Linked DNA regions of Diceros bicornis minor. The protein of the gene in region 2 interacts with the protein of the main gene of each other region in a biochemical or structural test. Links are inferred from orthologs where the notes say so. Each region holds a gene or a part of one and is shown on either strand. Other genes may lie near its edges.

Evidence for each region.
Region 1: the proteins of NHERF2 (region 2) and PTH1R interact in a test that uses a peptide from one of them, tested with the Homo sapiens proteins (2 studies listed by BioGRID and IntAct, with this or other methods). The link is inferred for Diceros bicornis minor from reciprocal best matches to the Homo sapiens genes NHERF2 and PTH1R.

What each region holds. Positions count from the first base shown.
Region 1 is NC_080741.1:48,268,844-48,276,803, forward strand, and holds the start of PTH1R (parathyroid hormone/parathyroid hormone-related peptide receptor), read left to right. Parts: upstream 1-4,906; 5' UTR 4,907-5,014; coding exon of another isoform or gene 5,015-5,048; intron 5,049-5,809; exon of another isoform or gene 5,810-6,075; coding exon of another isoform or gene 6,076-6,123; coding exon 6,124-6,198; intron 6,199-7,960.
Region 2 is NC_080765.1:46,385,766-46,392,895, reverse strand, and holds the start of NHERF2 (Na(+)/H(+) exchange regulatory cofactor NHE-RF2), read left to right. Parts: upstream 1-4,108; 5' UTR 4,109-4,217; coding exon 4,218-4,430; intron 4,431-6,936; coding exon 6,937-7,130.

The DNA.
Region 1 (7,960 bases), on a different chromosome or scaffold from region 2:
TGGGTTCAGATCCCGACGCACCGACCCACCACTTGTCTGGCCATGCTGAGGCCGCGTCCCACATACAGCAACTAGAAAGATGTGCAACTATGACATACAACTAGCTACTGGGGCTTTGGGGAAAAAAAGGAGGAGGATTGGCAATAGAAGTTAGCTCAGGGCTGATCTTTCTCAATAAATAAATAAATAAGAATTTTTAAAAAACAAAAAAAGAAAGTAGTAGTAAAGTGTGTAAGACCTGGGGAGAGGTTCCTCTGGGGATGCGGGCCCTAGAAACATGCCCCAGCAGTTGGGGGTGGTTTGGGGTCAGCCGTCTCACGTGCTGGGCACTGGGGGCTACGGCTGGAATGTGCTGAGCGGCAGCTGCCACGTCAATCATTACACCTCGTCAGGCTGAGCCTGGGACTTCCAGACACAAACCAGCTCGGGCTGGGCTCAGGCGGAAGGGTGGCCTCCAACCATGGTCTCGGGGCCCTGGGTGAGGTACCAGGATCTTGCATGGTCTCTTCCTCCCCGTCTGTCCACATCTTCACCCTCAGTGTCCAGGGGCAGCCCTGGTTCTGCCACAGCTCATTCCACAGAAACACAGAGGGAGGTCATCCTGTCCACCACCCCCGTCTCTGTGACCTGTAACTGCATAAGCAGGTCCTGAGCCTGGGTGGCACTAGGGGGCCAGCCACAAAAGGGCTTCCTGGCTGGTTTCCCACCAAGAGCCCACGTTCCAGTGGACAAGGAGTCAGATATGGTGTGGCTGTGGGGCTGCAGGGGTCAAGATGAGGGCTGGGTGGAATGAGGATTCCCACATCTCTCCTGGCTGAGGGACATTGGATACCTACTGCTGGGAGGTCAGGCCTTCTCAGGTCTCAGTTTTCCAGTCTGTGACCTAGGTATGAACTATCGTCAGCCTCTATCTGATTTCTCCAGGTGCCCAAAACTTGAATGAAGTCACTCATAGGGGCTGTGCTCATACCTTGTGGTGGCCTGAAATTTCTGAGATGTGGAAAAGGCCAGAATGGGCAGACAGGGACACAGGAACAGACAGAAGGAGAGTTAGTCAGAGAGAGGCTTGGCAGGGCGAGGAGAGGACCACTGAAGCACACACACACCTGAGGAGCTAAGCTGGCCTGGGTGCCTGGCAGGCAGACCAGTGGAGGGGGAGGAGGGCCCAGCCCAGGGCACCTGAGCACTGGTGTGCTTGGACCTGCCTCTGTTCCCTTACCAGGGGGCTGGGACAAAGTCCTGGGCTGGTGCAGGGCTTGGTAAAAAATAATTAATTTTTCTTTTTAAGTGAAAGCTCTGACTCAGGCCTTTTCCTGTCCCAAACAGAAACATCTTTGCTTAGGCCTGAACCCACAGAAGCTGCTCAGGACTATCCATGGCCTCCCCACGGCCAACCTGAATCTGCTCTGCGGCTACAGGCCCTACTTGGAAGGCCTTGTGGGCTCCAGGTGAGTGGGGTCCAGAGGGGACCTGAGCGCAGCTGGGAGGGGCAAGGCTGTGTGGTACCCCACCGCGTTAGTGTGTGTGTACCAGTGCAGCGCCGTGGGGCAGACAAGGCACGTCTGCATGGAGATGTCTGTAGACCTGGTGTTACCGCAGCAGGGGGCCTATGACCATGTGATCTGAAGGGACAGGAAGCCCACAACCCCAGCCGCCCTGAGAGTGCTCCTCACCTGGGACAGAGCCTCCTGGCCCCCTGTGCCCCCAGCTTCCCTCCCTTCGTCTTCCTGAGAGGTGAGAAAGCCAGGCTTCCTGCTGCAAGGGGAAGGGGCTGCCCAACCAGCTGCTGTGGGAGCCTCCAGTGACTCATCCGGGTGGGGGGTGTTTATGAGCAGCCGAAATGGCTGTAAAAGTGGCACCTCGGTTCACTTACGGCCTGGCCATCCCCTCCCCTACCAGCCCCTTGCCTTGAAAAGCTTCCAGAGGGGCCTGGAACGGGAGAGAAGTCTGGGATTGAGGCTTGGTGGAGGCTCAGCCCAGGGTCAGGGTTCAGCCAGGGGTTAGAGGTCAGACTGGGATAAGGACTCAGCCTGAGGGTAAAGCTCAGTCTGGGATTGGGGTTGAGATTGGGGTTTAGGCTGACTTTGGGACTAGGGTTGGGGGACAAAGTGTCGGGGGTCTGTGGGCCAGTTTTCCCAGACAGCCCTCAGGCTGTGGCAAGGGGTTTTCTGAGGGAGTGAGGCCAGGCTGCCCAGCTCAGAGGGCTGAGCCTCTGTCTTTCCTATTAGAGTCTGGTGCCCACCATGGCCCCAGGGTCTGTGTACCTTGGCCAGAGCCCTACTCACGGTGGCAGTGGTGGTAGCAGAGGCCTGTCAGCCTAGGGCTGCTGCACCAAAGTCCAGCCCCTGCTCCAGTTCTGAGCTCCAGTGACCACCTTGGCTCCTCCTCCTAGGCCCCAGCCTGGGGATCAGAGACCAGAATCCCCACTGGGACTCACTCCCACTCCCCACCCCCAATCAGGCCTTTCCAAACCCCATTGAAACTGACCTGAAACTAACCAGAAACTGACCCTGGGGCTCTGTCAAAAAGGGCAGGCTGGCTTTGCCAGGCACTGGGGTGCTACCAGTTAATGTGTGACACCCCCACCCCCATGGTGGCACTTTAACCAGAGGCCTGGGGGCGAGTTAGGGGATCAGGGGCCCCACCTGCAGTGGTGGAATGTCTAGCAGGGGACTCTGGGGAGAGGCACATGAGTTATGGCTAGGGAACACCCTTAGGGGCCCAGAGCACATCAGACCCCTCTCTGCAGCCCTATCCACAGCCCACCCTGGTCCTCCTAAGTACAAATATTGTTTGCTTCCCAATCTCAAGCTTTCTGGTGTCAGATCTGAGAAGGACTCCCTCCATGAGCCCCTCAGTTCTGCCAATCCCTCCGTGAATGGTCTTTTCCTATCACCGCAGTGGGGGGAGAGGGGCGCGTGGTCAGTAGTCATCAAACCATAAAACTTAGAATAGAATCGATTAGAAACAGACATAAAGTGGAGACCATCAAAATATAACACTGAAGAACCACAAGTGTTCTCTAGGTGCCCACTCTGGGCACCTGGGCCTCTGTCCCTGTTCCCAAGGAGCCCACACACCATAGGGGGCACCCCCCAAATCACAGCCCCAGCAATGGAGGAGATGGGGACACAAGGAAGGAGGGATGGCCTTTACACCAGGCAGAGGAGCGCGATCCTGGCAGAGGAGACTACAAAGGCAGGCAGGGGAGTGAACATGGGGAGAAGGCCAAGAGTCTTGTGGACAGTACCTGCTGGGGACAGTCATCTTTGGAGGAAACTGCCTCAAACGACACACTCCTTAAACGCCAGGACAAGAAACTTGAGGGTAATGGGGCACGGAGGAGGGCGGGGCCATAAAAATGTATGGAGAGGACAGTTGTGGGTATAGTCTAGGAGATGGGTGGTTTGAGCCTGGAGAGGGGTGAGCTTGCCAGGAAGGTTGGCTACAGCTGGATTCCAGTGGCCTTAGGGGCTTGGGCTTGGGGACTCATTCACGTTGAGGGGAGGGGCCATACCAGAGATGAGGGGCAGATTTGGGGGCTTTGAGGAGCTTAATTTCTAAAAGCTGAGTCTGGGGAACCCCCAGAGCCCATGGGTCTGCACACCCACCTTCAGAGGCACTAAAACAGTGAAGTTGTGTCCTCTGAATCAGCTGGTCAACTCCCCATCTTGCAGATGAGGAAACTGAGGCCCAGACAGTGGGAGAGTCGTCGTGCCCAGGATACACACTTGGTAAGTGGGTGAGCAGGGGCTGCTGCTTAGCCCAGATGATATTTCGCAGGGCCCCGACAGTTATATTAGCTTCCTCCTCAAACCTCCGCTCCAGGCGTCCCCAGGCCCATCGTGCACCTTAGCTTCCCCGTCTGGTACTGAGAGGTGGTAGGCTTGAGGTCCGAGGCCCACTCCTCTTAGCGCTCCGACGTCCCCTCGGCGGCCCGGGAGTATGTAAGCCCCGCCCCCATCCAGCCCCTGCCCCCAAAGACTCCTCCCGCCCCTCCCCGAATTGACGGTCCGCAGTGGACCAGAGCCCGCCAAGAGCGTTTGGGGGTGTGAAGGGGTGGGAGAGGGAGGCGGAGCCCGATGGTGGGGGTCTCGGCCGAGCTCCGGGTCTTAGCGGCCTTGAGAGGCCCGAGATGGAGTCAGGCGTGGAGCTGGAAAGGCCAGGCCGGCGTCTGGATGGGTCGAGACTCGGAGAGACCCGGACCCGGGGAGAGGCTGGGGAGGGAGAGAGAGGGACGTGAGGAGGGAGACCCCGGCAAGGGCGGGGGTGGGTCTCCGGCTCAGCCGAGCGACCCACTCCGGAGGTTCCCGAGGCTGGGGGTCCAGGCGAGGGCGGGGCGGGGCGGGGCGGCGGCGGCGGAGCCAAGCTCCGGGCGGGCGGCCGAGCAGCCTCTCCCGGGATCCCGGTCCAACCCGAGCGGGAATCCCGCGGGCGAACGAGCAGCGCCGCGGCCGGGGGCGCGCAGGATACCTCCCGTGAAGAGGGCCTGCTTCGTGGCTGAAGGCCCCCATTCACCAGCCTGGGCCGGACGATCAGAAAAAATAACGTCTGTGCCTTCCCGGAGGAGAGAACGAAGCAGCGGCAGCGTCCCGGGCCCCGTTCCCGAGCCCCGATGTCAGAGCTTCCCGGGCCCCGTCCCCTCCACACTCACATCCTGCCGCTGTGCGGCCCCGGGCCGCGGCCTCTAGAGAAATGTCCCGGGGCAGGGGGCAGCGGGCTCCGTCCGCTCGGCCGCTCCACACATCGCGTCGGAGGCGACGGAGAGGGGCGGGGGCGGGAGAGGCCCAGAGAGGGCGCGGGGGAGGGAAGCGGCGCCCGGCCGCGGGGGGAGGGGAGCGCAGACGCCGAGGCGAGGGACGCGCTGGGCGGGCGGCGGCTCGGAGCGGCGGCCGGGCGGGGGGCGCTGGAGGCCAGGCCGGCCAGGGAGGGATCCCGGGAGCTCCATGAGGTACCCCCGGGGCCGCGGACGGGGCGCTGTCCTGGGGAGGCTGTCGGGGGGTCCCCGACATCCATGGCTAGACGGGGGCCGCGGCGGCGCGCTCAGAGTAAGTCAGGGTTGGGGGCCGGCGCCGAGGGGAGGAGGCTGGAGGTGTGTGGGGGTGACCCCAGGCCTGACCCGGGCGGGCAGGCTGGTCTGTCTCGGTGTCAGTCGGCGGCGCCTCCTCGGAGCCCGGTGGAGCCGCCAGCCCCGCGCCGCTCGGCTCCGTGGCTTTTTTGGAAACTTGCAAATGTTTTCGTAGAGAGAGAAGGAGGAGGGGAGGGAGGGAGCGAGGGAGTGACCGAAACGGAGCTCGGGGCTGCTGGAAGAACGGAGGCCGAGGCCAGGGGAGCTAGAGACGGACTGACAGACAGGCAGACAGACAGAGCGTCCCGGCCGCAGGCGCGCTCCAGCAGCGCGGGCGCAGTCGGGGCTCCGGCCGAGGATGGGGAGGGGGTGCCGGAGGCGGCCGCGGAGGGGATGGGGATCTGAGGGGGCCGAGGGGCAGAGAGCTGGCGGCCCGATCACCGAAGGGCTCAGTGTCGTTGCAAAGTTGGGATCGCATCCCCAAGCTGCACACCCCGAGCGGCTCAAAACGTGCCCCTAGCCTCGCCCCGCCCCCCCCCCCACTTGCGTTAGCCGCGGAGCTAAAAATAACAGCCCGTTCGCCCCCCGCAGACCGCGACCCCAACCCCTCCCCCGACCCCTCCCCCACTGGGCGTGGGGCGAAGCCACAGCTCCCAGTTCCCCAAAAGAAAAAAAAAAGAAAGAAAAGGCGGCGGGGGGGGGGGGGCAGGGGGCGGGCCGGGGGCGGGGGGCCCGGCCATATGGATGTGATTTCTCCGCTCCGAGGCAGACGGGCAGCTCCGCAGCGCTCGGCGCCCGCCCGCCGCCCGCCCGGCCCCCGGCTGCCTCCCTTCCTCCCTCCCTCTCTCTCTCCTTTGCGCTCGCTCGCTCGCTAAGCTCTCGGCGCATGGGCCCCGCGCCGGGCCCCGGGGCCTCGGGCCGCCGGGCCGCCGGGGTCCCCTAGGCCCGGGCGTGGGCGGGGCAGCCGGGCCTGACGCAGCTCTGTACCCCACCACCACCACCACCAGGGCCGGCGGCGGCGGCTGCCCCGAGGGACGGGGCCCTAGGCGGTGGCGATGGGGGCCGCCCGGATCGCACCCGGCCTGGCGCTCCTGCTCTGCTGCCCGGTGCTCAGCTCCGCATACGCGCTGGTAAGTCCCCCGCCCGCACTCCAGGACAGGCTGCAGGCTTGCTCTGGGGTCCCTGAGGTGGGTCCAGGGCGCAGAGTCTTGGGTTCCTCAAGTAATTTGAACTTGGGGTGGGGGGTCCCCTCTGACCCAGGATCCTCGATGCCTGCTGTCTCTGGGGTGTCTGGATTCTGTGTTCCAGATACCTAAGGTCTCCCTATTTCCGAAGCCTGGGTTTGGGGTCTCAGGTCTGGAAATCTGTGGTTGGGGTTCCCCTAGCTTCTGCTTCTGTGAGCACCACTGCTCTGGTTTAGTCTCCCGGGAAGACGAACTAGCAGAAGACTGGGCTTTGGCCTTCATGTAGGGTCCCACAGACTTTGCTGTGGGGGTCTCTGTTTTCTGCAAGTTTTGTTTGCAGTCTGGAAGGCAGGGTTGTGAGTCGGAGGTCTGAATCACCCAGGCAGGGGGTAGGATTTAGGGACCCCCTCCAGCTCTCAAGATCACATGCGTGCACACATGCATGCACTCATACCGAGCTTTACCCAGAGTGGAAGCTGTTTGCCCAGGGAGGCGGGTGTGGTGTGGCATGGAGCAGGAATGGAGGTTTAACTTCACAAAACACTCCTACAGGAGAAACACACTGGAGGGGGACTGGGTGAGTGAGGGGACCCCTAGCAAGACAGGAGGACTCCCATCTGTACCCTCATGAGAGCAGAGGCCAAGAGGGAACCAAAGAGAGAAGAGACAGAATGGGAGATGACGCTAGACAGAGGGAAGAGAGAGACAGAGACAAAGAGAAGTAGAGATGGGAGTTCGTCAGAGCGGCAGGCGTAGATAGACCAAGAAGAGCAAAGAAAAATATGGAGTGACTGGGAGAGCGCAAGAACTGGAGACACAGAGGGGCAGCAGCCTCCTCATCTTGGGCCAGGGTCTGGGGGCCATTTCCTGGGGAGTCAGTCAGTCAGATCCCACAGCAGCCCAGTCCCAGGGGACCAGCCCATTGCTGAGGAGGCTGTGTGCCTGTGTGTCTGACTTGAGGGCCCCTGCTGCTTTCCCCGCCACCTCCCAGGTAACGGCATCTGCCTTCTCTAGAGAGAGATGGGCAGGCAGCTTCCTCCTCCTGTAAGCTCCCTACCCAGGCAGAGCCCCAGGTGGGAAGGCAGGAGCTCTGCGATTCCTCCGATTCCTGATTCCTCCATCTCTGTCTGATGCCTGCATAACCTTGGGCTGTCCTTCCTCACACCTCAGTTTCCCTATCTAAAAAGACAGCAAGAAAGAAACTTTTGCCTAAGAATCCCCTGATCTGAGGCTCTCCTTTCCTCCGTGGGCCTCAGCACGCCCCACTCACTGGTGCCCATGCCCTTATGACTCTGGCTCCCCAAAGCCAGAGACATCGCCCCTTACAAAGGCTTGTAGATGGGGAAACCAAGGTTCAGAGACATTCCAAACACTGGTAAATGCCAGGGCCCAGAGCCATTTCCAGGGTGTGTGAGCATAGCCATTGTGCAGAGCCAGCCAGCATGGTCTGTGTGCACATATGTGTGCATGTGACTGTGGAGGGACAGACAGGGTGATGGGCCTGGGTGTCCTGAGGGTACGTCAGGGTGTCAGAGCAGAGCTCCGTGGGACTCTGGGCATTGTGTTTTCTGGGTCTGCATGAGGGTGAGTGTCTGAGTCCACATGTGAGCTCATGTGTGTCCGAAACTGTGGGTCTGCACAGGACTTGCAGAAGCATAGTTGTGTGTGCATTTGTGAGCACATGTGCACCCAGGTCTATTCTTTTCTT
Region 2 (7,130 bases):
TATTTACCCTGATCCCACTCAGTTTTTTGCCCCCAGGATCTGCACTGGGGGAACAGGTGGTCACAAACCCCTCATTCTCCTCTCCCCGAGCCCACTCCCACCCCTGCTCCTTGCCAAACTCAGTCTTTCAAAACATGGGTGTCCTGAGCTTGTTACTCCCAATGCACCTCAAGGGCTTCCCACCACTGATGGGATGAAATCTATGCTCTGGGGCAAGGCCACAGGGACAGGGGGCCCTGTCCCCCAGTCTCATTGCTCCCTCCCTTTCCCCACACAGCCTGCAGGAAACTCTGGGCAGATTCCAGAACAGCTCCCTGGTCCACCCTGAAGGAGGACTCCAGGGCCCCAGGCCAGTTTCAATGCCTCTCCTTGGGCTGCCCCAGCCCTGGGCCTCCCCTGGCCAAGGTACACAGATCCCTGTTTCCAGGGGTCTCAGCGATGTTTCCCCGGTGCTCTCCAGCGCTTGGCACGAAGTGGTCCTCAAATGTTTGGTCACAAGTGCCGGGACACTTGGTGAGGGGCTAGGTTTCATGTTGCCTGGAGGAACCCTGGTCCAGATAGGTTAGTGCCAGGTCCAAGGTGAAGGAGCAGAGCCAATTAGGGGCTCGGCAGAGGCCCGGCTTCTCTGCCTACGCCTCCGCGGCACCCCTACGCCCCTGCAGTGCAAGCAGCTCTAGGGCGTCAGCCTCGCCGCAATCGCCACCCGGCGAGGCAGGGCTGGACCGAGTCGGAGCCATAGGGGCGGGGCCTAGGGCAGCCCCTCGGACGATGCCATCCCACCCAGAGCCGGGAGGTGGCGCTGCGCAGCTGCTCTTTCGGGCTACAGTCACCGCTCCGCGCCTCCGGCGATGGGCGGGCTAGGGGCGGGTCAAGGGCGGGGCCACTCTGGTCTTTGCATTCTCTCTCTCTCCCCCTCCTCCGTCCCCTCCCCTCCCCTCCCCACCTCGTCTCTAGGTATCTTGTTATCTCTTCCCGTCGCTGTGGTCCCGCCTGCTCCGATTTCGGGCTCTGAAGAGAGGCCTGGTGTAGTCTGAGGGAGGAGGCCATAAGTGAGGACTGGTCATCCCGTGGAGCCATTAATGCCCATTAGGGAGGAGGTGCCGGCCTGGGAAGCTCTGGGCCATTACCCGGGCGTCAGGCTAATGGCTCCATCCCCGAGACGGCCCCCAGTCCTTCCTCTGGCTGTGACCAGGCTTCTGCCCACCGCCACATCCCAGAGTCCCCGCCTAGGCGCAGGCTCCGCCCCACCCCTGGGGGCGTCGCAGCAGGGAGGTAGGTTCAAAGGTCAGAGGAAACTCCCCCTCCCCGCAACAGGATCACGGGGGCAAGCCCTCCCTGGGGTGAGCCCTCCCGGGGTGAGCCGTCCGACAACCCCGGGGAGGGAAGCAACGAAAGATCCACTATCCCTCTGTCCCAAGGCTTGCGCAGCAAGGTGGCAGGACAGGGATGAGGGCGCCAAGGGTGGGGATCCCCCAGACCTCTGACCACTTCCGACCCGACCTCCTCCTGCCCGCTGCTGGCCTCACTGATCAGCTAGCTCCCTAGCACATTCCCCAGCGACCCTGAGCAACTTACAGCCCCCAACACCTTTCAGCCCACACTCTGGGCCTTTGCCCTCTGTCCCTCTGCTTTGCTGCCTTTGCCCCTTTCTCTGTGCCTCTCGCCTCCATCACAGCGCCCCACGCCCGAGGCCAAGGCCAGAGGAAGAGGCCTGGGGGAGTGTGCCCAGGAGAGCTACTGGGCCCCCTTTCTTCACCTCTGTTATCCCAGGCCCTCCATACTGACCCCATTCCCTCCCTCTCATTCCTGTCCGCCCTTGGGAACTGTGACCTGCAGCTCTTCCCTGGCTGCCCTTATTTACTCTGTTGCTGTCATCCACTTCCTTTGTTACGCCCCCTTGTCACTCTAATGTTGCCTTTGTTACTCTGTTACCTTCCCTGCTACTTCCTCAGCTCCTTTTCTGCTTTAGGGCCTCCTTTGTTATTCTGGGATGCAGTGTTCCTGGCCCCTGTGACCACATGCCCCTGGCTATCCCTCCCTCCAGTGGTGTTCTGTTCCCATCCATCTTCACCCACAGGCTGAGTCCCGGGCTGCAGAAGGTGGTGAGGGCCCAAGGCTGATGAGGAGCATCTGTCCTACGGAGCGGGGAGGAGGTCTCCAAGCCTTCTGACCCAGGGGACCAGGGGACCAGGGGCCCCTACCTTCTCGACCCCCCAGCCTGGGGGTCTCCCATCCCTCAACTCCAGTGTGGCCCTGAAGCTACAGCATGGCACATTCTGGGTGGTCCTGGTTGCTATGGGGTGACCCCTAAGCCCCACCTGCTGTGGTATATGCTGGGACCGCACTGCCCGCACCCATCCTCACAGTCTCCAGGGGCAGCAGCACCAAGTTGGGTCCAGGGAGGCCAGCCACAGGCCAGACAGGCAGCCTCTGGACAGGCAAACAGACAGATGGAGGTGGCCAGCCAGGTGGGGGCCTATGGCAGCATCAGCCAGGAACTCGGAGTTGGGGGTGGGGGAGCAGCCGTGCAGCTTCGGCCTAAGTGGCTTTTAGGGGCAGCAGCTGGGGTGTGGACACCCAAGGGGCTGTGGCCCAGGAAGCTGCCCAGAGGCGGGCCCTGTGCTTGGCGGGGGCTGGGAGCCCAGGCTGAGGGCATGGAGAGGGGAGAAGGAGATGCAAGGACGGGGCCTGAGCCGACTCTTGCTTCTGCCCTCATGGGGAGCTGTCTGGGCTGGCTGTGCCTGCCCCCCCGGGGACCAGGTATGTGCAGGGGGTGGGGGGCCAGGGCTGGGGAGGGGCAGGGTGAGGGTGACCAGGTATGTACAGGGTAGGGCAGGGCAGGGCTGGGGAGGGGCAGGCTGAGGGTGAGCATGCAGCTCAGCTGTCTTCCTGTATCTGAGGCTGAGAATGAACTCCATGGTGAAGAGTGTGGATTTGGAATCTTACAGCCCTGGGCCCAGGAGAAGCTGGGGAACTTTGCCTGGGTCTCTTCCCTTTCCAGATCTCAGTCTCCTGATCTGTAAAATGGCCTGAGTCCCGTATGGTTGTTCCAGGTAAAATGCACTCAGGCGCAAGGAAGCATAAGTGATTCTGCATTGTGATTATTATTGTCCAATTGGGGGAAGAGGGCACTCATGCTGTGGGGTGGGAGTGGGGGCTGCTGTAGGGGAAGGGGAGGAGAGAGGGAGGGGAGGGCTGGGGTGGAGGAAGGGAGATCTGAAGGGGTCTGAGAGCTCAGACACCGAACTCCTCAGCACATTTCATCCCAGGTCAGGAGGAGGGTAGCAAAGACTCTCTCATCCCAGCCAGACAACTGCATTTCCTCCCTGCACTCCTTGTAGTCACAGACCAGGCCTGGGATGGGCAGGGGCACGAGCGAGGGGCCCTGGCAAAGTGAGGGGATGGTAGGGGGAATGTTTAATGGATGTATGCAGCACAGATAGGCACAAACACTCCTGAAGGGGGTAGGGGAGTCACCCAGTCACTGGCCTCCAGGTTATAGGGGAGGGCTGCTGCCATATCACTTTCAAATCCCTCTTTTGCCTCCTGGAGTGTCCTGGACTCTGGTCCCGGCCAGGGCAGCTCCGGGCGCAGGAAGGATCCAGATACACAGACAGCTGGGGTGGGGGTGGTGGTGGTGAGGGGGCTTCCCAGGAAGGTGAGCAGAGCTGTTGCCTTTGTTCTTACCCTCTGGCCACTGTGTAGGGTCCCTCGGCCTGAGGACACTTTCTCCACCCCCTCCCCCACCTCAAGAGCCCGCCTCCGTGCTGGTGCCACGCATACCGTAGGTGCTCAATAAAAGTTCCTGGAATAGGAGGCAAAGGCGCTGGCGCCAAGGAGGCTGCCCAGAGTGGGGGCGAGACCAGCGGGTCCCGGTGATTCGGGGTCCCCTGGCCCTGCAGTCCCCTACTTCCTGCGGGCTCCCCCGGGCTAGCGGGACGCCAAGGCAGGGGCAAGGCCACGACTGCTTGGGCCCGGGGCAGAGGGGGCGGCCGGGCGGAGGGGGCGGGGAAGGGGCGGGCGCGGGGGCGGTGCCGCAGCCTGAGCCCGAGCCGGAGCCCGAGGCGTCGGGAGCCGAGCGGGAGCCGCCGAGGCCGCCGCCGGGTTTCCAGCGCCGCCGCCGCTGCCGCCTCCGCGCCGTCCCCGCGCCCCTGCCTGCCGGCGGCGGGCGTGAGCGCCGTGGCCAGCTCGGGGCCGGCGGGTGGGCAGCCGGCGCCATGGCCGCGCCGGAGCCGCTGCGGCCGCGCCTGTGCTGCCTGGTGCGCGGCGAGCACGGCTACGGCTTCCACCTGCACGGCGAGAAGGGCCGCCGCGGGCAGTTCATCCGGCGCGTGGAGCCCGGCTCCCCGGCCGAGGCGGCCGCGCTGCGCGCCGGAGACCGCCTGGTTGAGGTCAACGGCGTCAACGTGGAGGGCGAGACGCACCACCAGGTGGGTGCCCGCGCCCCGCCCGCCGGGCCCTCCCCGGGGAGCGCGTCCCTGCCCCGCGCGCGCAGGGGGCGCTGAGGACCACCGGGCTCGGCGCCGCCTGCTTCCAGGCCTCGGCTCCCTGCCCGGGGCCGGGAGGGGGTTGCACAAGGGCCTGCGTGAGCTCCCCCGGGGAGGTGGGGGACGTGGCCACGGAGGCAGCGGCCGCCGGCCTCCTTCCTAGCCTCCCCCCCCAGGAAGCTCAGCCCTGCACCGCGGAGAGCGGGGGGAGATCCTGGCAGGGAGGGGCCCGCACTGCGGCTCTTGGGTCCTTGGCCCTAGTTTAGTCTTGTTTTGGACTCCCTGTGCCATGTGTGGAGGTGTCGGTTACCTTAGGGGGGTTTCCATGCAAGTGGGTACCCTGGGTGCTTTTCTTTGAGTGTGTAGACATGCGCGTGTGTACACAGACAATGTGTGTGAGTGTGCAGGTCCCTCTGGGGATCACCCAGATGTGCATACATTTATCTGTGTGTACCTGGGAGGTGTCACAGTAAGGGCACACCTGTGTGTGCGTGTATCAGTGAGTGTGTATGTGTATGTGTGTGCTGGACTGTGTGGGTGAATAGACAGGTCTTCACCCCTAGATGTGTGTGGATAGATCTGCATGCCTGGACGTGTGTGAGAGCTGGGCTCTGTGTATGTGTTGGACTGTATGTATCAATATACAGGTCTGCATGCCTGGATGTGTGAGTGTGGATAGAGCTGCATGCCTGGATGTGTGTGTGAGCTGGGCTGTGTGTGTGTGTGTCTGCCGGCCCGGCTGTGTGTAGTCATCAGTGTATGTTGGCAGGCCAGTGCCCTAGTGTGTGTCCTGGCTGATGGTGTCTGGGTCCCAGTAGGAGTCGCTACTGCTGGCAGCACATTCCTCTCTGTGGAGGCTGCTGGCCCTGCAGGGGTCACTGGCCACAGACCCTGCCCCCTGCAGCTGGAGATGAAGGCCAGAGGGAGGGCAGGGTCTCCTCTCTGCAGGTTCTGACCCCTGGAGGGGGGTCCATCTCCACTGGCCAGGGGCTCACCTGGCTTGGGTCCAGCCTCCCTCCCCCCTTCTGCTCCAGGGTCCTCTGTGTCCCCCCAGCACTATGAGTTTCTGACCCGCCTGTGTGGCCAGCCCTGGGGCCTAGAGATGAGTTCTTCTCTGGTTCTTCACTGGGCCTGGAGCTGAGCTCCCACTCTACCCTTGGGGCCCTTGTCTATCCATTTGTTTTTGCGGTCCTTCTGTCTTCCAGCCAGAGTGTCAACTGGATGAAGCTGTTTGCTGAAGGAGGATAGGGGTCAGGGCCAGAGGATTTGGCCTGACAGGCCGCGGGGAGGGGCTGGCAGAGCTGGTGCCTGGCCTCTGCGTAGCAGTCACTGTCACCCTTGCCCCAAGAGCGCCTGCTTATCCCAGGCTTCTGGGTGCTGGTCTCCAGGAACTTCACACACAGGACCACGTGGGTCGCTCTCACTGCCCCAGGAAGGAGGAGATGCAGTTACGGCTCCCATTTTGCAGATGAGGAAACTGATGCTTGGAGATAGTGGGTGACTTGTCTGGGTCCCACAGTCAGGATGCAGCAGGGTGCTGGGGTCCTCCTGTGGCTCTGTGGGTCACAGGGAGAGAGGAAGGACAGGAGGGGCAGGGGGTGGGGGGAAGGTGGGCCTGGTCTAGACCCTCCTATCTGTTGACAACTTCTGCCAAGTAGCTGATGGGGGTCCCGTCTGCCGTCCTCCAGGCCTTGGGGTGGGGGTGTTGCCCTTCCTACCCCAAAGCCCAGTGGGCACTGCCCCTTCTCCTGCAGGGCACGCACTGGCATGCATGCTCCATGGCACCCACATGCACCTGCAGAGACACACAGATGTCCATAATGCCACACTCGTCCTACAGGTGGACCTGCCCCTCCCTGCCTCACCTGCTGGGTCTGAATCCTGCTTACTGAGTTGTGTGTCGGTGCCCACGGAGGTGCCTTGTGGAAGGCCTAGAGGCAGGGGTTTAGACTTCCTTGCTCCACCACTGAGAAGGACAGAATTGGGCACAGACACTCAGACTGGGACCCAGGGAGAGAGTTCTCTCCCTCCAACCCAGACCAAGAGAGACCCTGAAACAGATGGATGTACGCCTGCACACAGACGCGCGCGCACACACCCACACACGCACACTGAAAACCTGAAGCTTGGCCGTGCACCATCTTTGTCACTTCCAGACCACTGCCTCCCCCAGCTTCCTGGTCTCTCCTGGAGAAGACCCTGGGCTGAGGCGACGACCCTGCAGCCCTGGCATCCTGGGCCCCAGTGTCAGGAGCTCTGGGAGAGGAGGGAGGGAGCGGCTGGAGCCCGGGGGTGGGGGGTGGAGCCGGCGGGCCTCTCGGTCCAGCCGCCCACCCCTGGTAGGCCAGCCGCCTGCCTGCAAGCCCAGGCGAGCCCTGGGTGGTGCCACTGTCCATGTGCTGTCTGGAGTGTTGGCCGCTGACCTGCTCCTGCCACCTGCCTGTCCCAGGTGGTACAGAGGATCAAGGCTGTGGAGGGGCAGACTCGGCTGCTGGTGGTAGACAAGGAGACGGACGAGGAGCTCCGCCGGCGACAGCTGACCTGCACCGAGGAGATGGCCCACCGAGGGCTTCCGCCTGCCCACGATCCCTGGGAACCAAAGCCAGACTGGGCACGTGCAGGCAGCCTCGGCTCTGAGGCTGG